7 linked regions of the Callithrix jacchus genome follow. The protein of the gene in region 4 interacts with the protein of the main gene of each other region in a biochemical or structural test. Links are inferred from orthologs where the notes say so. Each region holds a gene or a part of one and is shown on either strand. Other genes may lie near its edges.

Region 1 (3,500 bases), on a different chromosome or scaffold from region 4:
TTCCCTGAAAGAACCTAGTGCTCTTCCTATTGAGCTGCAAGGAAGGAGGACTCCTGGCTCTCATGCACACCTGGGCCTCAGCTCCAGCAGCGAACTGTAGCTGGCTCACACCGGCTCACAAAAGCCGATTCTTAGCAGTACTTCTGTGTGTTCAGTGACATCGTGTTAGTAAGTTGAAATTGGACATAGGGGAATATTTACATCACAAAAAGCAAATGCTACCAATTTGGACTTTCCCCCACCCCCAGAGCCATCTTACCAGGATACAAATTCTGCCTCATCATTCAGCTATGGAAACTTTAGGATGCCCAATATCAGACCCTCATGTGACTTAGAATCTGACCCAGCTGTGCCTCCTTGTTTCTTGCTGTGCCCCTCATGCATCAGGTTGGGAGCTGAGAGCCTAACAGAACTCTGGAGTCAAACTGGATGAGGAGCTTGTTGGTTACACTGTGAAGTTTCCTGCTCCTGTGCCTCACCTTTCTGTTCTGGGCCTGCCCTCAGATAGAAACCGTAGCCATCCCTTCCTTTCCTCATCTCCACAATTCGGGGCTGGCGGGGTAACAGTTTCAAACTGGCTGTTTCTCTTTTGAATTGTATCTTCTGCTCACGGTGATGCTTGTCAGTTTCTTTGTCCACCAGCAGGAACATGACACGGCTTCCTGACTTCTTCACCTGCAACAACACACAGACGAGGAACCACATCAACCCCCAAGAACAATGTAAGGAATAAAAAAGTTTCCAGCTGGGCGCGGTGGCTCAAGCCTGTAATCCCAGCACTTTGGGAGGCCCAGGAGGGTGGGTCACGAGGTCAACAGATCGAGACCATCCTGGTCAACATGGTGAAACCCCGTCTTTACTAAAAATACAAAAAATTAGCTGGGCATGGTGGCGCGTGCCTGTAATCCCAGCTACTCAGGAGGCTGAGGCAGGAGAATTGCCTGAACCCAGGAGGCGGAGGCTGCGGTGAGCCCAGATCGTGCCATTGCACTCCAGCCTGGGTAACAAGAGTGAAACTCCGTCTCAAAAAAAAAAAAACTTTCTATATAAAGGCACACGGTCTCTAGGTTCCACACAAGATGGGGATAGAAGGCCTGCGTTTAGCTGCAATACTACGTCCTACCAGCTGACTGATAGGTATCTACCTCCACAGCCATAGTTGTTTTTCCCTTACTTATGACCCACCCACATAGGTACTAAGCCCAAGAAGGAGCTGGAATTCAGAAAACCCATAAAGGTGTGTAGGTAAAGGCAACAATAGGAGTTTGGAGAAAAAGAAAGTAAAGCTCCACTTCAAAAAATCATTCTACAAAGAGAAGTTAGTCAATGTTTAAGGTTCCATGTGACCTCAAAGGAGAATCTGTTATCCTCTACTTCCTATGAAATGTTTCAGTATTGCTGGGTGCAGTGGTGCACGCCTGCAATCCTAGCACTGTGGGAAGTCAAGGTGGGCAGATCACCTGAGGTCGGGAGTTCGAGACCAGCCTGACCAACATGGAGAAACCCCGTCTCTACTAAAAATACAAAATTAGCCAGACATGGTGGCGAATGTCTGTAATCCCAGCTACCTGGGGGGCTAAGGCAGGAGAATGGCTTGAACCTGGGAGGCGGAGGTTGTGTGAGTGGAGATCATGCCACTGCACTCCAGCCTGGACAACAAGAGTGAAACTCCAGCTCAAAAAAAAAAAAATTTCAGTATTATCGACTCAACAGTAATTTTATTGACTGAGACAGAGTTTCACTCTTTTTGCCCAGGCGGGAGTGCAGCTGCACAATTTTGGCTCACCGCAACCTCTGCCTCCCAGGTTCAAGCGATTCTCCTGCCTCAGCCTCCCGAGTCGCTGGAATTACAGACATTTGCCACCACGCCCGGCTAATTATTTGTATTCTTAGTGGAGATGGGGTTTCTCCATGTTGGTCAGGCTGGCCTCGAACTCCTGACCCCAGGTGATCTGCCCACCTCAGCCTCCCAGAGTGCTGGGATTACAGGTGTGAGCCACCAGGCCCGGCCCTCAACAGTGAATTTATTATAAATTCAGAGGGTGGTGGCACATGCCCGTAATCCCAGTACTTTGCAAGGCCAAGGCGTGCAGATCACTTGAGCCTAGTTGTTCAATACCAGCCTGGCCAACATAGTAAGACCCTGTCTCTACAAAAAATATAAAAATTAGCCAGGCGTGGTGGTGCACACCTGTAGTCCCAGCTACTCAGGAAGCTGAGGTGGAAGAATCACCTGAGCCCCGGAGGCTGAGACTACAGTGAGCCAAGGCTGTCCCATGACACTCCCACCTGGGTGACCGAATGAGACCCTGTCTCAATCCAACAGTTGAGAGGGGGCTCCCAATCAGATACAAACCAGATCCAAAAGGTAAAGGTAGTAGTTTTATAGACCTCATGTGAAATCAGGGGAGGCTTTATTCCAAACCTCTATATCAACACTGCTTATACCTGTAGTGTGGTCTGTTCACCTTTAACATGAAATCAACTGGGTACTTTTTCCATCATAAACTCATGCTGACCCTACCACCATCTTCCTGTCACCTCCAATGAGAACAGTGGAAGACAGGGTAAGAAAGTACCCTTTGGGGCATACCTTTTCAACCACTTCCTCGTGGCTGGCATCCTCTACGTTCTCTCCATTCACTTCAATCAAGTGATCATCAGACAGAACTCCAGCCTTCATAGCCACACCCTGAGGTGTAATGTCAGTCATGTATACCCCCTTTTTACCTGGAAGAGAGTAGAGGTAAACTCCATGGGGAGGCGAAAGTGACTCCCTGCTGGATGCTAATCTGCCATGGTGACTTCTGATGGGCCCCAGTCCTGTGAATGCCTCCTGACTCTACTTCATTTACCGTCCCGAGTGTGAGAACATGTCAGCCTTGATGTTATCACACAAATTACAGGCCATGATGTAGAGCATTCTTGCCAATCGCAGAGGGCTGCCTTCATACACCTTTTCCCTGTGACAGAGCAGCCCTGTGTCTGGAGAGTAACACTGCAGAGACTGTGGTTTCCGGCTGTCCAAGAAAGTTTGTAAGTTCTCCGACTATATTCCAATATACCGACAAACTGGATTTGCCCGCCTTGTCCTTTGGCTTCTCAGCTCCTTCGGCATCGGAGGACTGTAAGGGCACACACCACCCTTTCACAGAACACTCCATTGCACAGAAAAACCAGAAGTCCGATGGTAAAGACTTTTCTCCCAGTAATGTAAAAATAGAACTTCCAGTTTTAGAGCTAACTCAAACAGCCTTTGGCTTCTGATCTAAAATCACAGCGACAGCTCCTAACACAGAACTTGACACAGCCTTCACTCAGTGGGTTAGAGTAGAATTGTTGAATAGAATTTCTGAGGTCAGCTAAATGCAAAGATGGAATCTTAGGCGGCCCTGGCCTCTTGAACCGGGGGTTACTGTGTCATACGCCCTTTCTTCACGTTTGTAGAATCGGAAAGCGTCTATCACATGCCAGTGAGGTCATCTCACCCATACAGGTGA
Region 2 (3,628 bases), on a different chromosome or scaffold from region 4:
CCTAAAACAAAACACCAATTAAAAATGAAAATGCAAGTTCTCTTTAAAATTTCATAAATTGACCAATATCCTATGGGGTTGAATTCTGGGGGAAAGACTTCTTTTCAAATCACTTGGTGAATTGTGAGCTTAAATCAACACACAGAAAGCATATATGTATTAGCACTAAATCAAGGTTAGTCAGTGACAAAACTGTATTTCTAATGTTCATAACATTTCTAAATGTTCATAACTCAAGTCATTCATTTACAAGTATTTTCCAAAAAGTATTTTACATATAACATAGGTACTTCTAAATTATATACAGAGGTCAAAATGGAAGAATATCCTTTTAAATGGTGTCTTAAAAATAGGATTGGTTTTCTAACATATGTTTCCCTCATACATAACATCAGCTGCCAATATTTATAACACAAAATTAAGCCCAATCCTTTGCACAGACTTTATGATATATTGGTACAAATAATAGAAGCTACTAGAAATAAATAATAAGCCAAATATTTAATATGAAGGAAACAAAATGTTTATTTAAAAAAAATGAGATCAATATCATTTTAATGTAGAATATGCCATCTTTATTTACAGGCTAATAAAAAATATTAAACTCAAATTAACTAGATATAATACATTGTCATAAATGCAATAGACTTGAGGCCAACCATAAGTATAAGACTGGATGGAATAGGGATTACATAAGCAGGATGTCAAATACTGTACATCTTACACATGAATCACATGAAACCTTTTTGTTTCTAAACATGAAAATAGAATAAGTCCACTGTGTACAGTAAAAAAAAACTTTCTGTGGGGGGGAAAAAAACAGCACCACAGACAAGCTGTGCTAATTTTTGGTAGCTGTTGAGTTATAATTATCAAGACTCACAAAATTTTCACCTTTCTTAAATCTATTTTAATAATAGTCTCATTATCAAAATGTTGCTTTTCCATCATATTCATAACAGAGAACTGTAGAAGAGTATTTTAGAGGTTAAGTGTAAATATATACACACGTCCATACAACCCTCACATTCTATCAAGACATTTTCTCAACCATTCTGTGTACACATGTGCGTATTTCTCCTACTGTCCCTTTCTCAATGAAATGGCTTTGTACCAGTTCCCTCCTTACTTGTTTGGTTTTGTTCTAGAAGCTTCAGGGGCATATGAATCTCTTTCCTCTAAATGTGAAAATAATAAAACTGGTTCTCAGTCCTTTGGAACTAATAACTAATTCTTAGTTCATCCCCAAAGACCATACATTCTAAAATAAACTTTTAACTAGTTACTTTCTAACACGTGATAGGAAGTTCACAGTAGCATCTGAGCAACAGTGCTCTACCGTAGGCTTACAAACCCCACTGAAGCAGGAATGTAAAGGAAACTGACCGGTGGAGTTTTAAACTACTTGGGAATTTTTCCTTCTATTTATCATTCCTTAAAAGGAATTTATGTCATAACTGTCTCATACAATCCTTCAAATTACACAGTGACCTCATAAAAATTCCAACTTGAAGTTCTAGGAAAAAAAAAAAAACACCACTTATTAGGTAGCTCTTGAAAATCAAAGGGTTCTAGCTTACATTTCCTAAGGATTCAGTGATAGTAGATAAAGGATATTCTCTGAAAAAAATACCATGGCCATTCCAACCCAGGCTGTGCTTTAAGAAGATAAGAATAACATGGTTTCATGTCACAGCAAAAAGTTTTCAGGTCAGCTACAATGGGAAATTCTTTTTACTAAATAAATACAGTGGCTAAAATCCAGTTTGCAGATCTTATGTCATGCATGGGAGGTATGTGTTTGGCATAAGGAGACAAGCTTTTTTATTCTTTCTTTCTTTTAAGAGTCCTACCCTGTCAAAAGCAAACAATAACATGTGACTTGCTTATTCATTTGTACAATTAAATACTAGCTTTTGCTCAGAGGCAATGCTATAAAGTATTTTAATATCAGTAACAATATACACTATGAAGTGTACTTCTATTACAAATTAACATGGTGATATACAGATGAACACCACCCAAAACAAACCATAAATGAGCAACAGTTAAAACATTAAATTTATAAATAGCAAAATCACAAAATAAAGTATATACATTTTATAGATTTACCCTTGAACAAATATATAGTGCATCTGGGAAAGACAAAAAAAAGTGTTTTGTCACATAACATCTGAATACCAGAAATGAAGATACTGATAATATTCTAAAAGCCTTGTAGGCTTTCTCCCACTTAATATTCCCTTAACAGTGATATTAGCAAAACTGATTAGCAAAACTATCACCTCTTTAATGTAACATTTTGACTTTGCCCAGCCGGTTACAATGACTGCAGAATAATAGATCAGAGAGGAGACACTCCATATTTAATCATGGGACAAGAGACCTTACAAATTTATAAACCTGCATATGAAGAGAGCTTTAGTCAAACATAAACTGACACATGAAAACCCAACTAAAACAATTACTGTGTAAAAATGTCTTCATCTCATCTTGCCCACATTTTAGATGATTCGAAATCATTTACTTAGAAAGAAAACTGCTGTTTGATTTGAACGTACTGTGTTTCATGACATAGTAAAAAATCTGAACTTTTACTACCAGAAAAATTTATCTTTAAATGCCAGAACTATCACAAGACAAACTATGAACAACTCAAAATGTATAAAACTGTCTTTTGTGGATCCCAGAAAACAAGCATTTGAGACTCAACATGAATGGGTAAATGCTCCATACTGTGCACACAGATCAACATAATTGAGAACAGATGTTTTATACTCATCTGCATTTCTTTTAAAAACCAAGAAAGTCAAATGTTTAGTAACTTTTGAGAAACTATTTCTAGTGCAGCATTGATTGATAAAGGATTGTTTAAAGAAAACTATTTCGTACTGCACTGAATAAAGCTGAAATGCAAACTCATTACAATAAATGATCATTAAGTATTGATTTAGATTTCAGGATGCACAAATTTTTTTTAAGTCTAAAACCTTTCTTTCAGTTAAAAAAAATTAAGTCCGGTCTATATTTCTACAATTCATTTGAGTCAAGTTCTGTTTTCTGAAATACCACAGTTAACTTTCTAGAATATATAATATGAATTCATGTACTCTCTGTATTTTAAAGGGTATTATAAAATTCCAATTAGCACTGTCCTCTACTAAAGAGAAAAGGAACCAAATAAAACAGTAGGGTTTCATTTGGTACTTAAGAGCCCAGTAATACCCTTCAAGAAACACATGCTTTGATGCTTACAATTTCAAGAAAATCAAAATTGCTTACATGCAATAGCTAATTATGGCCTACCACAAAACACAGGGGGTTTTATGCATTTAGAATTGTTCACATGAAGCCCTGAGGTACCTGCCTTTCATTTAGGCAACAAACAGCCTCCCCTGATTTTGTATAGTCTTTGTCACCATCTTCCCCAGTGCCCCAAATTCAGAATAGTCTGATTAACAATCTTGTCTGGAGATAGTCAATTTAATAAGATTTATTATGATACAGACTGTGCAGATCATCTAATTTTGAAGCACTGTCGTCTAGCGGAGTTTCACTTGCATTGCCCAGGTCTCCATTTTCATGTGCGTCAGTTACTGCCTTCTTATTAAATCCTGAAAGAAAGGAG
Region 3 (2,860 bases), on a different chromosome or scaffold from region 4:
AGGTGTCTACAGGTGTGCTGGGAGGATCTGGGAGTGTCCCTCTGGTAATGAGCCTCTTCTCCTCAGGGACATTCAAGCTTCCTTCTTTAGGGCACTTCAGACAGGAAATGGGGTTTGGAGGTCAAGGTGGGTGGATCATCTGAGGTCAGGAGTTCGAGACTAGCCTGGCCAACATGGCAAAACCCCGTCTCTACTAGTAATACAAAAATTGGCTGGGTGTGGTGGCTCACACCTGTAATCTCAGCACTTTGGGAGGCTGAGGCGGGTGGATCACTTGAGATCAGCAGTTCAAGACCAGCTTGGCCAAATGGTGAAACCCCGTCTCTACTAAAAATATAAAAATTAGGTCAGGCGCGGTGACTCACGCCTGTAATCCCAGATACTTAGGAAGCTGAGACAGGAGAATTGCTTGGACCTGAGAGGCGGAGGCTGCAGTGAGCTGAGATCACACCACTGCACTCCAGCCTGGGCGGCAGAGCAACAGTCCATCTCAAAAAACAAAACAAACAAATAGAAATTAGCCAGCCATGATGGAACACACCTGTCATCTCAGCCACTTGGGAGGATGGGGCAGGAGAATTGCTTTAATCCTGGAGGTAGAGGTTGTAGTTAGCCCACATAGCCCCACTTCACTCCAGCCTGGGTGACAGAGCAAGATTCGGTCTCAAAAAACAAAATAAAACCAAACAAAACCCCAAACATTAGCTGAGCATGGTAGCAGGTGCCTATAGTCCCAGCTACTTGGGAGGCTGAGGCACAAGAATTACTTGGGAGGTAGAGGTTGTGGTGAGCCAAGATCACACCCACTACACTCCAGCCTGGGTGACAGTGAGATTGTTCCTCAAAAAAAAAGAAACCAACGTTGGGTTTGGGCCTCTGTTTTGGATGTGCAGGTGCCCTGGTAGGCAGAGACTCTTCTCCCTGGGGTTTTCTTGCCCCAGCTTTGTCCATCTGCTGAGGATGTGAGAGATGGCACTTGGGGTAGGGCTGCCAGATGAAATACAGGACACCCAGCTACATTTGAATTTCAAGTTAACAATGAATACTTTTTTCATAGAACTATGCCCAAATTAGTCATTGCTTATCTGAAATTTAAATTTAGCTGGGCAACTCTGCAAGTCTCCAAGGGTGGTGCTTGGTAGATCTGATGATGCCTTTATCAGGAGTGAGCCTCCTGTCCATGACAGATTTTAAGCTCCCCCCTTTATACTGTAGTGCTGCTGGAAGTGGGGCTGGAAGTGGGTATAGGTCCTCTGAGGGTGGGGGTGGTGACTCTCTGCAGGATGGGTATACAGGTGCCACAACAAACAGTGATCCTACCATACATGGAGGCATTTAGGCCCCACTTTGTGACGCTGCGGTGGGGGTTGGAGGTTGGGGTGTGGTCTCTGAGGTGCCAGCTATGCCTGTACCTACGTGCCCCTCCTGCAGCCTGCACGTGGAACGGGCGTCCCTGCAGCCTGTCTGTGCACATCGACAAGGGCTTCACACTGTGGGCGGCTGAGCCAGGGGCAGCCCGAGCTGTGCTCCTGCGACAACCCTTCGAGAAGCTGCAGATGTCTTCAGATGATGGCGCCAGTCTCCTTTTCCTGGACTTTGGGGGTGCTGAAGGCGAGATCGTGAGTGAAGGGCAGCCTCTGTACCCTGGGGAGGAGGGGGTGTGCACTCTTGGAAGCCAGGCTGGCCAGGGCCCTGACTCTTCTCTCCATCCACCCTGCAGCAGCTGGACCTCCACTCGTGTCCCAAAACCATAGTCTTCATCATCCACTCCTTCCTCTCGGCCAAAGTCACCCGCCTTGGGCTCTTGGCCTAGAAGTCGCCGGATGCACTAGCCCTGAAGAGGGGTGTCTATAACATGGCCTGAGCTGGGCCTCCACCGAATGCCTGCTCGCCCCTGGGCTGACAGAAGGGAGAGGAGAGGAACGAGGTTCCTCAGAGACCCCGCCCCTGAGGGAGGCTGGATTGGTCTTGGGGCCCAGGACCCAGACCCAGGACAGAGTGGACCCTGCCTGTGATGGGGTAGCCTTCCTGCTGCCCCCCTCCACTAGTGCCTTTTGCAGAGAGATATTTTGTGTACACAGAAGCCATTCCAAGCCTGGGACCTGCCCCTGTGTGGATCCTGACCCCAGCCAACAGCTGAGCTGCCAGGCCTCCTTGAGGCCCCTAAGCCACCCCCAGAGGTCCCATCTGAAGCTGGAATACCTGGGGTCAGCGGCAAGAGAAAGAAGAGGAGCCTTTCTGTTTGTTTTTCCCCTTAGCTCCGCCACCTTGGGGAGTCTGGTTTTTCTCTTCATCCTTTCTCTCTCCTCCTTACTCTTGGATAAATAAATAGCCTGTGAGCATACAGGCAGCCTGGCCCAGTGTCTGTGGTCTGTGCCTTGGCCTTTGGGCCCTGGGGTGGCCCCTGCAGTCCCAAGATGGACCAGACCAAGGACCGGGGCACCTTTCCCTGGAGAAGAACAGACCTTCACCACAGGGCCAAAGAGAGTGTATTGGTTATTTATTTTTGTGTGACAAATTACCCCAAATTTAGCAGACAAATGACCCTGAATTTTGCAGCTTAAAATGACAAATATTCATTATGTCCTAGGTTCTGTGGGTCAGGAATTTGGGAGGGGCTAAGCTGGGCTGTTCTTGTCTCAGAGTTGCTCATGAGGTTGCAGTCAAGTTGTCGGCCAGGGCTGCAGTCATCTGAAGGCTTGACTGGGGTCGGAGGATCCATTCCAATACTGCTTATGGTCATGAGGTCTCAGTGCCTCACCATGCAGGCCTAACCCTAGAGCTGCTGCTTGAGTCTTCTCATGATATGGCAGTTGGCTTTCCCCACAGTGAGACAGAAGATAGAGCAAGGAGGAAGCCA
Region 4 (2,831 bases):
CATGGTCCACACCCCTGGCCAAGATGGTCCACCTATCTGGGCCGCCAGGCACTGCTGTTCCTTATGTGCCAACCTGTATCCCTCACTACACTGTTTCCACAAGGCCAGAGGCCGGGACTGTGGTTATGCAGCCCTCTGTGCCCTATAGGGCCCAGAATGAGAAGGGCCAGTGAATGATCACCAAGTTACCCTAACATGGTGCGGGGGTCATGGGGGTGGTCTGCCTGGGAATCTTCCACTTGGAGAAATACAGCAACAGGGATTTGTAGAACATCTACTTGGAGAAATGAGGCCGTTCACGAACAGCTGAAAAGCCCTGGGACGGGACCCTGCCTCCCTCCTCCAAATGAGGCCATGCAGGCCTTACAGACTCACCTTGGCTGTCTCTGAAACTGTGTTCCAGTTTCCCCCACTGAGGGTAAACTTCCCACTGCCGATGCGGGTTAGGATTTCCTCTGGTGTGTCACTGGGCCCGTTGGCAAATGGAGTGTATCTGCAGAAAAGCCCGCACAGTCTGGGTACAGACTCTGGCCTCCATCCTGGGGCTGGGGCTTGGTGGAAGACTGTGTCTCCCCACAGAAGGGGTGCTCCCAAGGTAGGACCATGTCTCTATTTCCAGACCATCCTGAGGCAGGGCTGGCTGAGCCTTTCCTATCAGACAAGCACCACCAGCCCAAATGCTAGGGCTGCAGGAGTGGGGAAGGGTCCAGGCCAAGGGGCACTCACCCCGCCAGCATGGTGTAGAGCAGAATGCCCAGGCTCCAGATGTCACAACCTTCATCGTAGCCCTGGCGCTTCAGCACCTGGCAACAGGGCAGGGCAGGTGGTCAGCCTGGGGGCAGCAGAAAGTTGCCACAGATGCTCCTGCTACTGCTCTCAAGGGCAGGACAAGGGTCTCAGCCACAGGCTAGATCTTCCCTTGCCAGCTGGGCCAAGGTCACAGAGACTGGAGCCCTGGCCAATGTGGGGCCTCTGGGAGAAGGCACAAGGCCTCCGGTTCCCCCTCTCTTATAGCTGAGGAGGCTGGGCCACTCACCTCGGGTGCCACGAAGTTGGCTGTGTAGCAAGGTGTCATGAGGAGCCCATTCTCAGCCCGCAGCTGTTTGGCAAAACCAAAGTCACAGATGCGCAGGCACTCAGGATTCCCGGACTCGTCCACGTACAGGATGTTGCTGGGCTTCAGGTCCCTGTGCACAACCTAGGGGCAGGGGGCTGGGATCAGTTCTCAGTGCAGGGAGGTGGCTAGTGTCCCAGGTCAGCTGCCAGGGATGAGAAAGTTACACAGATAGGGTGTGGAGAGATGGGAGCACAGACCTGGAATCCGAGAGAAGGGGAAAGGGCTGAAATGAGGGCCTTACTGCTGCTGCTACTGCCCACTTGAACTCTGTGTAGGTGTCCACAGGTAGCTCTAAGTCAACCTGTCCAAAGCTGAACTCCCAATTCTCCCAAAACTACTCATCACACAATCTTACCTCGTGGCAACTCCATCCTTCCTGTTACTTAGGTCAAAATCTAAAAAGTGTGTCATTCTTTTTTTTTTTTTTTTTTTTTTTGAGACAAGTCTCCCTCTGTCACCAAGGCTAGAGTGCAGGGGCAAGATCTCAGCTTTCTGTAGCCTCTGCCTCCCAGGATCAAATAAGTCTCTGCCTCAGCCTCCAGAGTAGCTGGGATTACAGGCACCCCCCACGATGCCTGGATAATTTTTTGTATTTTTAGTAGAGACAGGGTTTCTGACATTTTGGGCTGGATGATTAAAAAAAAAAAAAAAAAAAAAAGAGATGGGGTTTCACCATGTTGGCCAGTCTGGTTCCAAACTCCTGACCTGAAGTGATCCACCATCTTGGCCTCCCAAGTGTTGGGATTACAGGCATAAGCCACGGAACCCAGCCCTATTTTCCTAATCTTTATAATCTATGAATATACTGCTTTACATTGATCTGTAGCATTTGCCACCACTTAACATAATATTCAATTTGTTTATGGAATCTGCCCACTGGCATGTAAACTCCATGAGTGTTTTGCTCACTGCTGTATCCCAGCAGTTAAACTAGCTCCTAGTACATGGCAAGTATTTAATGAACACCTGTTGAATGAATGAATGAATGAATGAATGACACTTACTGCTGAGGCCATAAGCAAACAGCTTTCCTCTGGGCCCTGCTTGCTCATCTCTAACTTGAAGGGGATGAACCACTCCACATTTCATTCTTATCCTTCTCACACTCCGTAAGGTTGTTTTGTGTTTTTTTGAGACAGGGTCTCTGTTGCCCAGGCTGGAGTACAGTAGCATGATCATGGCTCACTGCACCCACAGCCTCCGGCTCAAGTGATCCTCCCACCTCAACCTCCCGAGTAGCTGGGACTAGAGGTGTGTGTCACCACACCTAGCTAATTTTTGAAACATTTTTTTGTAAAGACAGGGTCTCGCTTTGTTGCCCAGGCTAGTCTTGAACTCCTGGGCTCAAGTGATCCTTCTGTCTGGGCCTCCCAAAATGCTGGGATTATAGGTGTGAGTCACTGTGCCTGGCCTGTACAGTTCTATTCATAGTCAATCCTCTAACTATCAATTACCAATACCTCTCAGATCTCTAACCCTAGTCTAGAACTTACCTGAGTCTTGGCTCATAAATCCAGCTGCCTACCACTTGGCAATCACGGGATGTTCCACAGAGCCTCAAATTCAACACATCCCACACTAAACTCCTCATGTCCTTATCTTCCTATTCCTTCTCCCCTGAGCTAATGGAACCTCCCTGGGCATTGTCAAAAACCCTGTCAAAAAGGCTCCCTACCTGCAAGACAAAGTCCCAGCCAAAGTCCCTCGCCTAACA
Region 5 (3,993 bases), on a different chromosome or scaffold from region 4:
AACTGATGCCATTTGGTGTCATAGAGAAGTACAAGCTTTCCAGGAACAAGGCTCAATTGGCAGCAAGGAATGATCAATGATCAATTTATAAAACCCACCGAAGCATCTGGTAGCAGCTTCAGGATAATGGCAGTAAGTGATATGCAGCCAGGTGACAGGTCCCTTTGCATTCCTAAAGTTCAGAAGGTGGTAAAGGAAGTGGAAGGAATAAGGGCTTGGAATGACGCCCTACTGCGTGTTTTCAGGACAGCTTGTCATGCTACATAATAGGAAGAGACAAACAGGGAGAGGAGGCAATTTGGATCCAAAGGGTTCATTCAGGGTAAGTAGAAAGAAACAGCCACTAAGATTTTATTTGTGTTATTTCACTGCTTTCTTTCATTATCTTTCCCTTTAATTTTCCCTTGCAGGTTCCCAAATGATCACATTCCCGGTCCCAGTAGTAACATGCCTGTGGAAGTAGAAGATGGATGCTGAGTCAAACTCAGAATCCCAGCTTCCTCAGTAGGAGGCCTTGCATGGCTTTTCAGCAGCTCCCTGAAAAGGCAAAGTCCTGAGGAGGGCACCTGGCTTTCCCCCCGTCTTTGCTGCTAGGTCAAAGATCCGTGCTTATCTAACTCACCTGATTTCTGAATCATGGTTTGAGAAGCCTGGCTCTGTGGATCTCCTGGTGTTATTTTCCTAATAGTGATTTCCTAAGGTCACAGCTTCCTTGTAATTGATTGATGTGAAAGAACAAACGTGCTTCTATTTCAAACATATTGGAGATAGATTCGACGCCGCACCATGAGCTTTCAACGGAAAACCAGACTGACAAAGATTCTGCTCTCCCGAGGCTTACATTGTGGTGGATTTAAAAAGTTGTTTCTCAACATTTCGCGCTGTACCCATCACCAGCTCTGCCCAGGGCGAGGCGCCTTGATGCTTGAAGTTCATTGTGCAGGCAAAGGAGAACACTGTGTCTCCAAGGACCCTTGTAAACTGGCGGCCAAAATTTGAAAGAACATAAATCGCAGGGCAGCAGCGGAAGAGGCTGGGGTCTCTGGAGGTGACTTCTATTAGCGTACGGGCGAAGTCAGGGGACCTAGCCGGAGCCTGAAAACTTTAAGCCAAACAAACTGAGATCATATCTCCCTCCCGCCACCTCCCTCCGACTAGCCACTACCGCCGCCCAGGGACCGCTGCCCCGGGGTGAACTGGGGAAGGCAGTGGGGATCGGAGAAGACGGACTCTGCTTTCGCTCCCCTTTCTCCCCCATCCCTAACATGGGCTTTGCACTGGAGCGCTTCGCAGAAGCCGTGGACCCGGCTTTCGAGTGCAAGCTGTGCGGCCAGGTGCTGGAAGAGCCGCTGTGCACGCCATGCGGGCACGTCTTCTGCGCCAGCTGCCTGCTGCCCTGGGCGGTGCGGCGGCGCCGGTGCCCGCTGCAGTGCCAGCCCCTGGCGCCCCGCGAGCTGTACCGGGTGCTGCCGCTGCGCAGCTTCATCCAAAAGCTGCGCGTCCAGTGTGACTACCGCTCCCGCGGCTGTGGCCACTCCGTCCGGCTGCAAGAGCTGGAGGCGCACGTCGAACACTGCGACTTCGGACCTGCCAGCCACCTCCGCAGCCTCGGGGTCTGCGCTTCGGGGCCGGACAGTGGGGAGGTGCCGGCGCGGGAGGGCTGCGGGCCGGCACCAGGGGCCGGCTGGGGCGGGGGCGCTCGCGGGGGGCCGCCGGGCGGCCTCTGTGGCCGCGGGCGGGGACCCAGGCCTCGGGTACTCGCCTGGAGGCGGCGCGAGAAGGCGCTGCTGGCGCAGCTGTGGGCGCTGCAGGGCGAGGTGCGGCTCACTGCGCGCAGGTACCAGGAGAAGTTCACGCAATACATGGCTCACATCTGCAACTTCGTCGGGGACCTGGGTGGCGGACACCGCAGGGTAAGCAAAGGGGGGTGGGCGCCCCAGGCATGGTCGATTTGGGTGGGAAGAGGAACAGTTCTTTCCTACACTTCAGGATCCCTTTGGAATGGGGCATCCTTTCTTACTATACAGCAGGAAGCATCCATGCCCTAATCATAAGTTCCTGTCATTATCTTGCGAATGGATTGGCATTGAAGTTAAAGATTGTCCCCTTTCTACTTATATTACGATTGGAAAGAGTTAAACAGATTGGATTCTAACTTTCCCCTGGGAACGTGGAATTGGAAAAACTCATTTTCCATCCAGACTCTCGTTCTTCATCTTTACCTTCCTGCCCACTGTCTCTGCCTAATTTTTGAACCTTTGTCCTGTGCCTGAAGCAAATACAAGAAAGAAAGCAAACACTTCCCCCTGCCCAGGCTTCCTTCCCCTGCCCGCGGGGATCCGCGGCCCCTGGCAGCGGCACCCACAGGAGCCCTGTCACTGCTGGTGACACTTGCCCTGCCACTGCCTGCATCCACTGCCTTCTGATAAGTTGGGGACTGTGAGGCATGGTGGGACCAGGACAGCCTCAGGAATTGAGAGAATGAGAGATGGGGGTTCTTAGACCTGCAGAGTTCTTTTCATCATCCTGACTTTCCCTAAATAAGCCTTCCTTGCCTCAGGATCTCATTATCGGTATGGAGAGAAAGGTGCGGGGGTGGGGTGGGGGGTTGTGTGTGAGACCTGGAAAGTCCAGTTCGAGAGCCTTCATCTGTGGTCAGACCGGCCCTGAGAGCCCCCAGACAGCGGCTGTTTCCCTTCTTTGTCGAAGCTTCTGGCCCCAAACTGCACTCCTGGACCGCCCGCTTTCAGACCGAATAAACAAGCCTCTTTGCAGCACCCCGTGTGAAGAAGCTTGTTTATAAAGCTGTTACTTCTCTCCTGGAGGACTTCTGCACAGTGTTTGACATTGTTGGTCGCTGCCATGGTGAGCAGGGATTTAGCAGAATTTGCGCTCCATTCAAGGAGCTGTTTTCATTCTTCAGCACTCCCGGGGAGGAGCAACCCAGAAAGATTCCCATTTGGGACTGGCTGCTCCACACTGCCTCCAACTCAGGCACTGAGTTTAGAAGCGCAGACTTAAACCTAAAAGAGAAAATTGTAGTGAGAGGGACTAAAGTGTTTCTACCTTGATGAATGGACGGGCACCGTGTACTAAAAGACTAGTTTCAAGGGTTCTTTCTCTAGTGCATAGATGCATATACATATATGCATATATACAGGTAAATTTACAAAATGGGAGGACCCAGGGAAAAGCACAGATAGAAGCTTTGCATTACCAGTCCAGGTTTCAAGGTCGCAGGAAACCAATGATTGAAGGAAAGGAGCAACGGCTAGAATAATATGACAGAAAACCCCATGCAGCAAGTCAAGCTACGATCCTGAGAAGTGAGAAAACTGTCCATGATTTGCAGATTAGCCAAAACCTCTGTGTTCCCCAGAAATGTTTTTCTACTACCAGTAGGGGCTGCTGTGTGCACTGCCTGGGAAAAGCTCCTGGGAAAATATCGTGATGCTGATAGTGATGATAATGCTTATGGAATGTTATCATTCAGAAGTAATTTCTAAGCAAAAGTTAATAACATCTATAACCATGAATAAAACCCACCTAGTCCAGCGCTAATTCATCCTATGTTCAAGTTAGTCTTTATTAATAAACATTGCAGATATAATTCCTATTTGTTTTACGATTATTTGGCCAGCCAAAAAATAAATAAATAAATACTACTTTACCTAGCACAAATTCTCTCTTTCTATTCTTCAGGAATTATGCAAAACCAAGTAGGAATATTATTTAAAATTAGGACTACAGTAGCCTAATAGATCCTGCATTACAACAGCAACATGAATATTATTTACAAATAGTTAAGTCTTTTTAAATTCCGTTAAGACTTTACAAAATAAAAATTTTACGCTATTGATAATTTATATTTTACTTTTCCATAATGGAGGGAAAAATAAAGATAACTCCAAGGTTTAACCAGAAATATGTTTTCAATTACAGTGAAATCAGAATTAGATGCTGCATTAGGATAAAAGTGCTGCCTGTCTCAAA
Region 6 (4,292 bases), on a different chromosome or scaffold from region 4:
TAATGTGATTATTAGTATGAAGAGCAGGGCTTAAAACCTTGCTGTCTAGGAAGACAAGCCTTTTAACTGTCTTTCACTGATTTATGGAAAGTGAATTTATTACACATTGTTTTTCAAATTGAATTTTGACATTTCTGGCCATTTCTCATTTAAAAAAATAAAAGCATGGAATTTGTTATTTATTGACCTTTCAATGCCATTAGGAATACCATTTAATATTAAATATTATGATTACAATATTTAAAATGAAACTATGGGAGAAGAATATTTGGGAAGGAGAAAAAATCATCACTATTTCTAAAAAGGAAATTTTAAAAGCAAAAAAAATTTATATGCTGTAGGTAACCTTTAAATGTCACATTCACTAATATATAAATGTAAACGGAAAAATACAAGTCTGGTAGTAACAGTAAACTGATCAATGCAATTACAGCATGGGTTCTGTGACATTATAAGTTACATTTCCATTCCAGAATATCAATAATTTTTTACCACCTTTTATGATCAAATTATAGTGCATTAAATACCATCTGGTTAGTTCTCTTCATACTATTTACAAGCTTGTAGCTTATCTCTTACTTGGACAGCGCCCTGTACTAAACTTCTAAGTATACAAGATTTGAGGGCATAAATTATTTTTTAATAGTTAAAAAGTAACTTCAACTCAGTAAGACAGTCCTTCAATAAGATCTCAGTAATTTGTCTGGAGTAATGCTGTTACTATTAACTTTAACCCACTTTCAAGAGTTAGTAAAATATGATTTAATAGACAATTGATTACTTGTTTAAATTTCAGTTAACTGAATTACATGATATAAACAGCACGCGCTATTTTAACAATGGCAAACACACACACAACATTCCAGTAGATTTTCACATGGTTTTATAAGTCACTAATTTTTTCCCTCCTCCATCTCAATTCCATCAATAAAGAGTTCATCTTTAGGGGTTGGTCCAGTTCTTAAGTATCCAAAGCAACATATGCATGTATTTATCCAGAGCTGGATTTTTTTTTTTTTTTCTGTAGAATAGTCCTTACTGGAGGCAAAGACAGTGCAAGTATTTTCTTAAACCCCTAAACTATATACTTGTAAGAAATAATTACTTTCATGCTTTGGGTAACCTATAAGAAGTTAAAATGTAAGATGATTTACATTTTTCCATCACTAGATTGACCAATCTACTATGTTAGTCACATGGCCTCAGACCAAATTTTAAGAGAACCATTAGCTTCTAAGACAAGAATTTGTGACTTGCCCTGTTTGAGGAGGATTTGAGACATACAAATTGTTCCATGTGAAGATTCAAAAAATTAAAAGGTTATCCAATGTATTTTTAAAAGTTTCATTGAGGAAGTCCCAGAGGCCCAATGTTACCCAAATACTAGGCATAGGTTCTAGCACCAGATATTTTCTCATCATGTATTTCACACTTTAAAAAAAAATTCTCACTTAATTTTTACTTGTTCCTGACCTCAGCGACAGAGGTAGGGACATCTTTCTCATTTTAATAGTCACTCGGGACCTGAATAACAGCCCACACACATGATAAATGCTCATAGAATCTGTGGCATTAAACTGAAAACACTCAAAATGTAGACTGGCTGGATAAGCAAACATTCTCCAACCTGCGTTCCTGCCAGTCACTGAGACTGGGCAGCTCACAAGGTTGAAACTCCAAAGGCCCCATCAGTTCTAACTTCCGAGTATGTGTCACTTGTACAATCAACTTTCTAAACTCCAGGGAGCCGAAGTGAGGCAGGCCTTAATGGGTCAAAAATCACACTTAGATAAGCAGCACCTTTTAAGACGTTCCCTCAAACAAGTTCCAAACCGGTGCTTCTCAAACTTCAGTGGGTATTCCAATCACCTGGGGATCTCGTTAAAGAGCAGATCCCGAGTCAGTGGTTTTGGTGTTTAAGTCCCCAGATTGGGCAGTTCAAAGGAGCTCCCAAGAGATTCCAATGCTGCGGTTCCACCAACCACTCTCGGAGTTCAAGGCCCACAAATGCCCAAAGACACCCAGGTCTCTGATATTAGCAATAGACAACAGATGCATCTACAGGCAGTGCCCCATTATCCCTTGGGTTTTCTGCATCCCCTGAGCGTCGCCACCACCACCGGGTCGCACCTGGCAGGTGCCCTGGCCGCAGCCGCGCCCCCCTCCTCCTCTCTGCGCTCACCTTCTCCCGGGTCTTCAGGTACCGCTGCAGCGCCTGCTGGGTGAGCTCGCCGACGCGCAGCTGGCCCTCCTTGCAGGGCACCACGATGCCCGTTCTACCGAAGCACACGGTCACTTTCATCCTGGCCCCCGGCGACCACGCCGGGCAGGGCCGAACAGGTGTCTGACCCCGCGGGCGCAGCCCCCACTCTCGGAGGACGCCAGGCGCGGGTGGGCCCGGAGACCCGGGGCGCCGCTCTCCGGGGCACCCTGAGGCCCGGGGGCTCGCGGCAGCGCCCCTTCCACCCGGGCAGGCGGCGGGCAGCGGGAATCGGGGAGGGACGGCCACGGAGAGGGGTCACCTCCCAGGTGCCCGGCGGCCCGGGACGCTGCGGCTCTGCGGCCCGGCTCCTCCTCCTCCACCTCCCGCTCCACTCCTGCCCGGCCCAGGCTGCTGCTCCGCGCCCACCAAAGCGAAACTGCTCGCCCTGCCCTGTCTCTGGCCCTGGCCCTGGCGGCGGTGGCAGGGCCGGCCCCAGGCCCCGGGCTGGAGTGGGTGGCGGCGGCGGCGGCGCGCGGGGCTGGAGTTGGGAGGAAACTTTTGCGCCGGCTCCCAACTCCTCCGCGGCGCCCGCGCTCTGGGCTCCCGCGGTCCCGGGGCCGGCCTGGGCCCGGCTCTTAAAGGGGCCGCCGCGCTCCCCGGCCCCGCCGCGCTCTGGGCGACGCCGTGCCCAGGCTCTGCGGGCCGGTAAGTGGAGCCCGGGAGCCTCGTCCCCTCAGCTGGGTCGCTCCCTGGCTCGCTCCCTCTCGCACGCATGCACACGGAGCTCTGGGGAGCTGTAAGGGGACCCGAGGGCTACCCACTCGGGGATTGAAACCGGATCTCAGAAAGCACACCCGAGAGAAGAGCGAGGAGACTGCAGAGCTGCACCCTTCACAGGAGGGGACTGCAGCAAGATGCAAAAGGAGCCCGGGAGCAGGTGCTTCTAGTCACGCCCACCAAAAACACCCCGGGGGCGAGGCTGCCAGGTGCTGAGAGGCTGGAGTGGCTCGAGGGCCTGTTAGGAGCTCTCTTAAGCACAGCCTTGGCAGCTGCTGTCTAGAGCCCTGGGATAGCAGATCTGAAGCGAACCTTTCCTTTTACGGACGAGGACACCGAGTATTCGGCCAAAGGTCACACCCCAAACCCAGATATGATCGCGTGTGTTGACACATAGCCTTCTGGAATGCGACTACTGTTGGGCATTTTATTAGAAAAAAAAAAGTTAAACACCTTTAGGCTCATGATTTGGCAGGTGTGTATCTATCGCCAATTGAAATGGGACTATGTGGAGGGCAAATCAATGAATTACACTTGTTTCATTCTTAGGTCTCATGTAAATAAGCTCCTTTGAGCTTAACAACAACCCCATAGGTAGATACTATTCTTCGCCTCTTGTGCATAAAGAACGGTGCCCCGGAGAGGTCAACAGAGGTGTTGGTAGTTCTGTTGAAAAGAACTCAGGTCTTCGGAGCTCAATCTCTGGTCTCTCCCAGCAGTTATCTTAGCCGGATATCCTGTAAGACCCTCAGGGCTGCATCATGTGTTTCTCTACGGAAGGATTTACTCCTATGTGGACACACTTACGTTGAACTGGAATTGCCTAGGATGGTATCATAATGCACAGGAGATTAAATTTATGGGTTTTGAGAGATTTTTTTAATTAGCTCATTCATACATTCAATAAATATATATTGGTTGTCTTCTATGTATAGAAGGTCAATGGCAACCAAGAGGATCATGTAAACCAAGTCCATAGTAATTTGGTTAAATATCCAATACAAACTAATTTATATTTAAATAAACCAAAGACAGAATCGATCTCCTCATAGAATCAGAAGATCCAGAGAACACTCCCTTGCGGCAAGGCTGAAAGCAGAAACTCAAACCATATCCTCAGCGGCTAGCTCTCTCCAGCTCTTGGCTCTATCTGTTCCTCAGTGTGGTCTCAATTCTCAGCCCAGCTCTCTTCAAAGAAGGCACTATATCCTCTTATTAGAGATGAGTAGCTGAGACCAAAGGAGATTAAATGGTTTGGTTACAATTTCATTCTTAGAATGTACCAGAGGCTGGCTTAAAACCCAGGCCATCT
Region 7 (3,500 bases), on a different chromosome or scaffold from region 4:
TCAGACTGATTAACCCAATCCCAGCTCTGTCCCTTTCCAGCCCAGCTTCTTATCTGGAAACCAAGGTTGTCATGAGGACTAAACATGCACCTGCATATTAATTCCTCAGCTTAGTGCCTAGCATATAGAGAGCACTCAGTACGTGTCAGCTGTTGTTATTGCTATGATTGGAATCATTTGTTTCCAGGTAAAATAGATGATTTTCTCTTCTTTCCTCCCAGGTCTTTGCTCCTGTCGCTTCAATCTTGGAACCTCTCTGCCAATAGGAACTTTTTATCCAATTCTGACCCTTCAGGGCTCTGCTAGAACTCATTTCTCCTTCACTGATTTCCTATGCAGTGAGGTGCTCTACTTGGTTCAAGGGCCCTTAGCATCTGGACACCTTGAACAGCAAGGCCAGGCCATCTCAGGCTACAATTTGCCTCTCTAGTTTGCCTTGTCCACGCTGTTTGCCCTTAGAGATGTGTAATTCTTTGAGAATAGGGCTGTGAGCTAAGAACAGTTGGCTAGAGGTAGTTTCAGTGGCACAGACAAACACAACGAATAGCTGCTGACCCACCCCACACAAGATGCACAGGAAGGGGTCTCTACCTTCTAGTGAAGCCCACAATTCTTGCACCTCTCCCTACTCTTGCCCTGCTGGCAGGTTTGTTGGTGGGACTCACCATTCCCGAGGCGATTCCTTTGGCAAATCTGACCTTCTGCTGCCAGGGGAACGGATCCTGCAGGATAGGGGAATGACTGTTGGAGGTTGTTAAGCCCTGTCCCACTCGTGGTCCAGACCCACGAGTCAATATGGTCTCCCAGTGAAGCCTCCCTGTCTGTGCCTAGACCCGCCCAGCATGGTCTTTGGGGGCAAAGCAGGGCTCCTCTGGCCTTTAAACTCCCAGGGTAATGGTAGTAGAAGTGTCCGACAACCCACCAAGGCTCCTGGAGACTATGGGGTGTTGTGCTCACCATTCCTCGCAGGAAATCCTTCAGTGTGCCCCCCTCAATGTACTCTGTCAGCAGGTTTAGCTTCTTATCCTTGTACAGCACACCAATGAACTTGAGCACATTGGGGTGGTCCAGGCTGCGCATCACTTTCACCTGGTGGTGGGGGAAGCCAAGGAAAGCTGGTGGTTAACATCTTACTATGTCTTCCTTATGCCTTCCCTCCAGGGAATGAGCTTGACAAGTGTTACCACCTGCATCTCCTACTGCCTACCTTGTGATATGGCACAGGACTAAGATCAAGATGAGGGAAGAACCCCATCATATGGACGGAGATGGCTTCGCAGGCCTCACCCTTGGCATCCTCCCTTTCTAGGAACTTCACTGGGGGAACAGTGGTGGGAGTGGCCAAGTGCCTCGGAGGGCAGTACTTGGACCACAGGTGTCGCCAACTGAAGTTGCTCCATGAAGTAACTTGGGAGAGGTGGTGAAAACTGTAAACGCTTAAGGAATTGAGTGCTCAGGGAACTCCCCTCCAGGTTCCCTTAGCAGGGTGTTCAGGTAAGGATTGTAACAGAGCTGTACTAAATTGGTCTGTTTTCATGTCCATCACCCTCATAATCTGAGAGCTCCTCTGAAACATGTATCTTTTGTTATTGCATCCCTTGTACCCAGTTTGTGCTGCCTTTAGTAAGTGTTCGTTGAACAAATAATTATGCTGTAATTTAGAGGGAGTGGGGATATTCCTTTAGTGCTCTTTTTTGCTTAGTCTTTAAGTCAGTGATCCAAACTATATTTCCTCTTGAAGCCATTATTTGTAAGGTCTTCCCTCTTCCAATGGTGACACCAAACTCCTAGTCCCCCTCCATCTTCTTACCTCAGTCAGAAAAGTCTTCTGGGTCTCCTCATCACATCGAATTAACTCCTTCATGACCATCACTTTGCCTGTGGCTTTGTGTGTCACCTATAGGGAGGGTAACTATTAATGGTGCTGAGACCAGAGGCAGTTCTGGAAAACTGTTGGAGAAAATCTATGCAACTGGCCATCCCACCCTTTGAAAGGTATACTGAGCCAAGTCAGACTGACAGAGTTAATGTGTGGAAGATGCAGCGTGAAGCAACAGGGGATTCAGACAGAAGCATATCCTCTTTCCTTGAGAGCTGGGCATGCATGGAGGATAGGCAAAAACCCAGAAAAGCGAAATGGGGAAGGAGGCAGGAGGGGACACTGCCAAGCCAAGCAGGGGCTCTGGTCATTTGGCACCGGAGTGAGTCTCTTGAGTGAACAGAGAAGTCTGGGGGCAGAAAAGTCAGTGCCAAAGACATGCACCAGGGAGTTGGGTGGGTCAGGGGTAAACTTTCCAGCCCCGCTGCCCCCACAAGCTGAGACACATGGCTTACCTGACCCCCCCTCCCAGTTCTCAGCAGAGGAGGAGGAGGAGAGAAAGAGAGAGATTAGTCCCCAAGACTGTTTCCCAGGGAGGCAGAAGCCCCTGTGTGTTCCTTGTAGCATGCCCGGTACTAAGGCCTGGGGGCACCTAACAAACACCCACTGACTGGTGGCAGGAGGACCACAAGCACAGCTCAACCCAAGCTGGATCTCCAGGTCCACAAGCTCATTGTAACAGCAACACTGACCTTAGGTGGCCTGGGTGGATGCAAAGGATACCTTTCATACTATCACCCAAAGCCAGGAAGGGGGCCTGATGTCCTGCAGGGTATGGGGTGGGGCCAAGTGATAAGAAATCCCCGAAAGACAGTGAAAGAGGGGGGCTGAGGGCATAAAAACAAAGCAATTACTGCCTGTGCTCACCTTTATAGCTTGCCCAAAGAAGCCCTTCCCCAGGACCTCCCCGTGGATTAGGTCACAGGGCCGGAAGATCTGCTGTGAATAGCTGCTGGAACAACGAAGGGATTCTGAGCGGCTGATGTCACGGCTGAATAGCAGGGGCTCCTTTGGGGAGCTGGGGCCAGGGGACTTGGAGATGCTGTTACTGCGCCTAAAGATGGGGAAAGATGGGAATAGGGATACACAGTCCTCAGAGACCACCAAAAAACCCTAGAGGAAGGAACCTAGGGGCACCTGTCCATTCCAATGTCTATAGTTTAGATGCTATTATTGGGGAACAGGGGCTCTTACATCAGATGTGCCATTATGGGGTTGCAGACATCACTCATTTATTTAAGCATAGTAAAAACACATTCAAAATGGGAACTCTGCATACATCACACACAAAACAATTAACTAGATTCTACTAGCTTATAATGCTCAGTATATGACATACATGACAACATTATAGATGGTAATTCACCATCTCCCATATCTGCTTGACTTAAGGTACTAACTGGTTTAGAATGATAGTTATACTAGTATCCAAAAAATGAGCAAATGGGATTTTTTTTTTTTTTTTTTTAGACAGTCTCACTCTGTCAGCCAGGCTGGAGTGCAGTGGTGTGATCTTGACTCACTGCAACCTCTGTCTCCTGGTTCAAGCGATTTGTCTCCTGGTTCAAGCGATTCTTGTGCCTGAGCCTTCTGAGTAGCTGGGACTAGAGGCATGTGCCAC

Evidence for each region.
Region 1: the proteins of RPS6KA1 (region 4) and PDZK1 interact in a test that uses a peptide from one of them, tested with the Homo sapiens proteins (2 studies listed by BioGRID and IntAct). The link is inferred for Callithrix jacchus from reciprocal best matches to the Homo sapiens genes RPS6KA1 and PDZK1.
Region 2: the proteins of RPS6KA1 (region 4) and GOPC interact in a test that uses a peptide from one of them, tested with the Homo sapiens proteins (2 studies listed by BioGRID and IntAct, with this or other methods). The link is inferred for Callithrix jacchus from reciprocal best matches to the Homo sapiens genes RPS6KA1 and GOPC.
Region 3: the proteins of RPS6KA1 (region 4) and SNTA1 interact in a test that uses a peptide from one of them, tested with the Homo sapiens proteins (2 studies listed by BioGRID and IntAct, with this or other methods). The link is inferred for Callithrix jacchus from reciprocal best matches to the Homo sapiens genes RPS6KA1 and SNTA1.
Region 5: the proteins of RPS6KA1 (region 4) and PDZRN4 interact in a test that uses a peptide from one of them, tested with the Homo sapiens proteins (2 studies listed by BioGRID and IntAct, with this or other methods). The link is inferred for Callithrix jacchus from reciprocal best matches to the Homo sapiens genes RPS6KA1 and PDZRN4.
Region 6: the proteins of RPS6KA1 (region 4) and PARD3B interact in a test that uses a peptide from one of them, tested with the Homo sapiens proteins (2 studies listed by BioGRID and IntAct, with this or other methods). The link is inferred for Callithrix jacchus from reciprocal best matches to the Homo sapiens genes RPS6KA1 and PARD3B.
Region 7: the proteins of RPS6KA1 (region 4) and LIMK2 interact in a test that uses a peptide from one of them, tested with the Homo sapiens proteins (2 studies listed by BioGRID and IntAct). The link is inferred for Callithrix jacchus from reciprocal best matches to the Homo sapiens genes RPS6KA1 and LIMK2.

What each region holds. Positions count from the first base shown.
Region 1 is NC_133519.1:8,110,114-8,113,613, forward strand, and holds part of PDZK1 (Na(+)/H(+) exchange regulatory cofactor NHE-RF3), read right to left. Parts: intron 2,731-3,500; coding exon 2,594-2,730; intron 676-2,593; coding exon 480-675; intron 1-479. UniProt on the Homo sapiens protein: A scaffold protein that connects plasma membrane proteins and regulatory components, regulating their surface expression in epithelial cells apical domains.
Region 2 is NC_133505.1:123,866,828-123,870,455, forward strand, and holds the end of GOPC (Golgi-associated PDZ and coiled-coil motif-containing protein), read right to left. Parts: intron 3,615-3,628; coding exon 3,484-3,614; 3' UTR 501-3,483; downstream 1-500.
Region 3 is NC_133506.1:5,910,538-5,913,397, forward strand, and holds the end of SNTA1 (alpha-1-syntrophin), read left to right. Parts: coding exon 1-12; coding exon of another isoform or gene 13-44; intron 45-1,431; coding exon 1,432-1,619; intron 1,620-1,720; coding exon 1,721-1,813; 3' UTR 1,814-2,360; downstream 2,361-2,860. UniProt on the Homo sapiens protein: Adapter protein that binds to and probably organizes the subcellular localization of a variety of membrane proteins. May link various receptors to the actin cytoskeleton and the extracellular matrix via the dystrophin glycoprotein complex.
Region 4 is NC_133508.1:63,217,814-63,220,644, reverse strand, and holds part of RPS6KA1 (ribosomal protein S6 kinase alpha-1), read right to left. Parts: intron 1,199-2,831; coding exon 1,037-1,198; intron 804-1,036; coding exon 727-803; intron 494-726; coding exon 376-493; intron 1-375. UniProt on the Homo sapiens protein: Serine/threonine-protein kinase that acts downstream of ERK (MAPK1/ERK2 and MAPK3/ERK1) signaling and mediates mitogenic and stress-induced activation of the transcription factors CREB1, ETV1/ER81 and NR4A1/NUR77, regulates translation through RPS6 and EIF4B phosphorylation, and mediates cellular proliferation, survival, and differentiation by modulating mTOR signaling and repressing pro-apoptotic function of BAD and DAPK1.
Region 5 is NC_133510.1:34,504,202-34,508,194, reverse strand, and holds the start of PDZRN4 (PDZ domain-containing RING finger protein 4), read left to right. Parts: upstream 1-1,193; 5' UTR 1,194-1,265; coding exon 1,266-1,913; intron 1,914-3,993.
Region 6 is NC_133507.1:125,871,124-125,875,415, reverse strand, and holds the start of PARD3B (partitioning defective 3 homolog B), read right to left. Parts: upstream 2,801-4,292; 5' UTR 2,303-2,800; coding exon 2,183-2,302; intron 1-2,182. UniProt on the Homo sapiens protein: Putative adapter protein involved in asymmetrical cell division and cell polarization processes. May play a role in the formation of epithelial tight junctions.
Region 7 is NC_133502.1:201,772,885-201,776,384, reverse strand, and holds part of LIMK2 (LIM domain kinase 2), read right to left. Parts: intron 2,934-3,500; coding exon 2,747-2,933; intron 1,898-2,746; coding exon 1,811-1,897; exon of another isoform or gene 1,169-1,810; coding exon of another isoform or gene 1,162-1,168; exon of another isoform or gene 1,090-1,161; coding exon 958-1,089; exon of another isoform or gene 723-957; coding exon 666-722; exon of another isoform or gene 222-665; intron 1-221. UniProt on the Homo sapiens protein: Serine/threonine-protein kinase that plays an essential role in the regulation of actin filament dynamics. Acts downstream of several Rho family GTPase signal transduction pathways.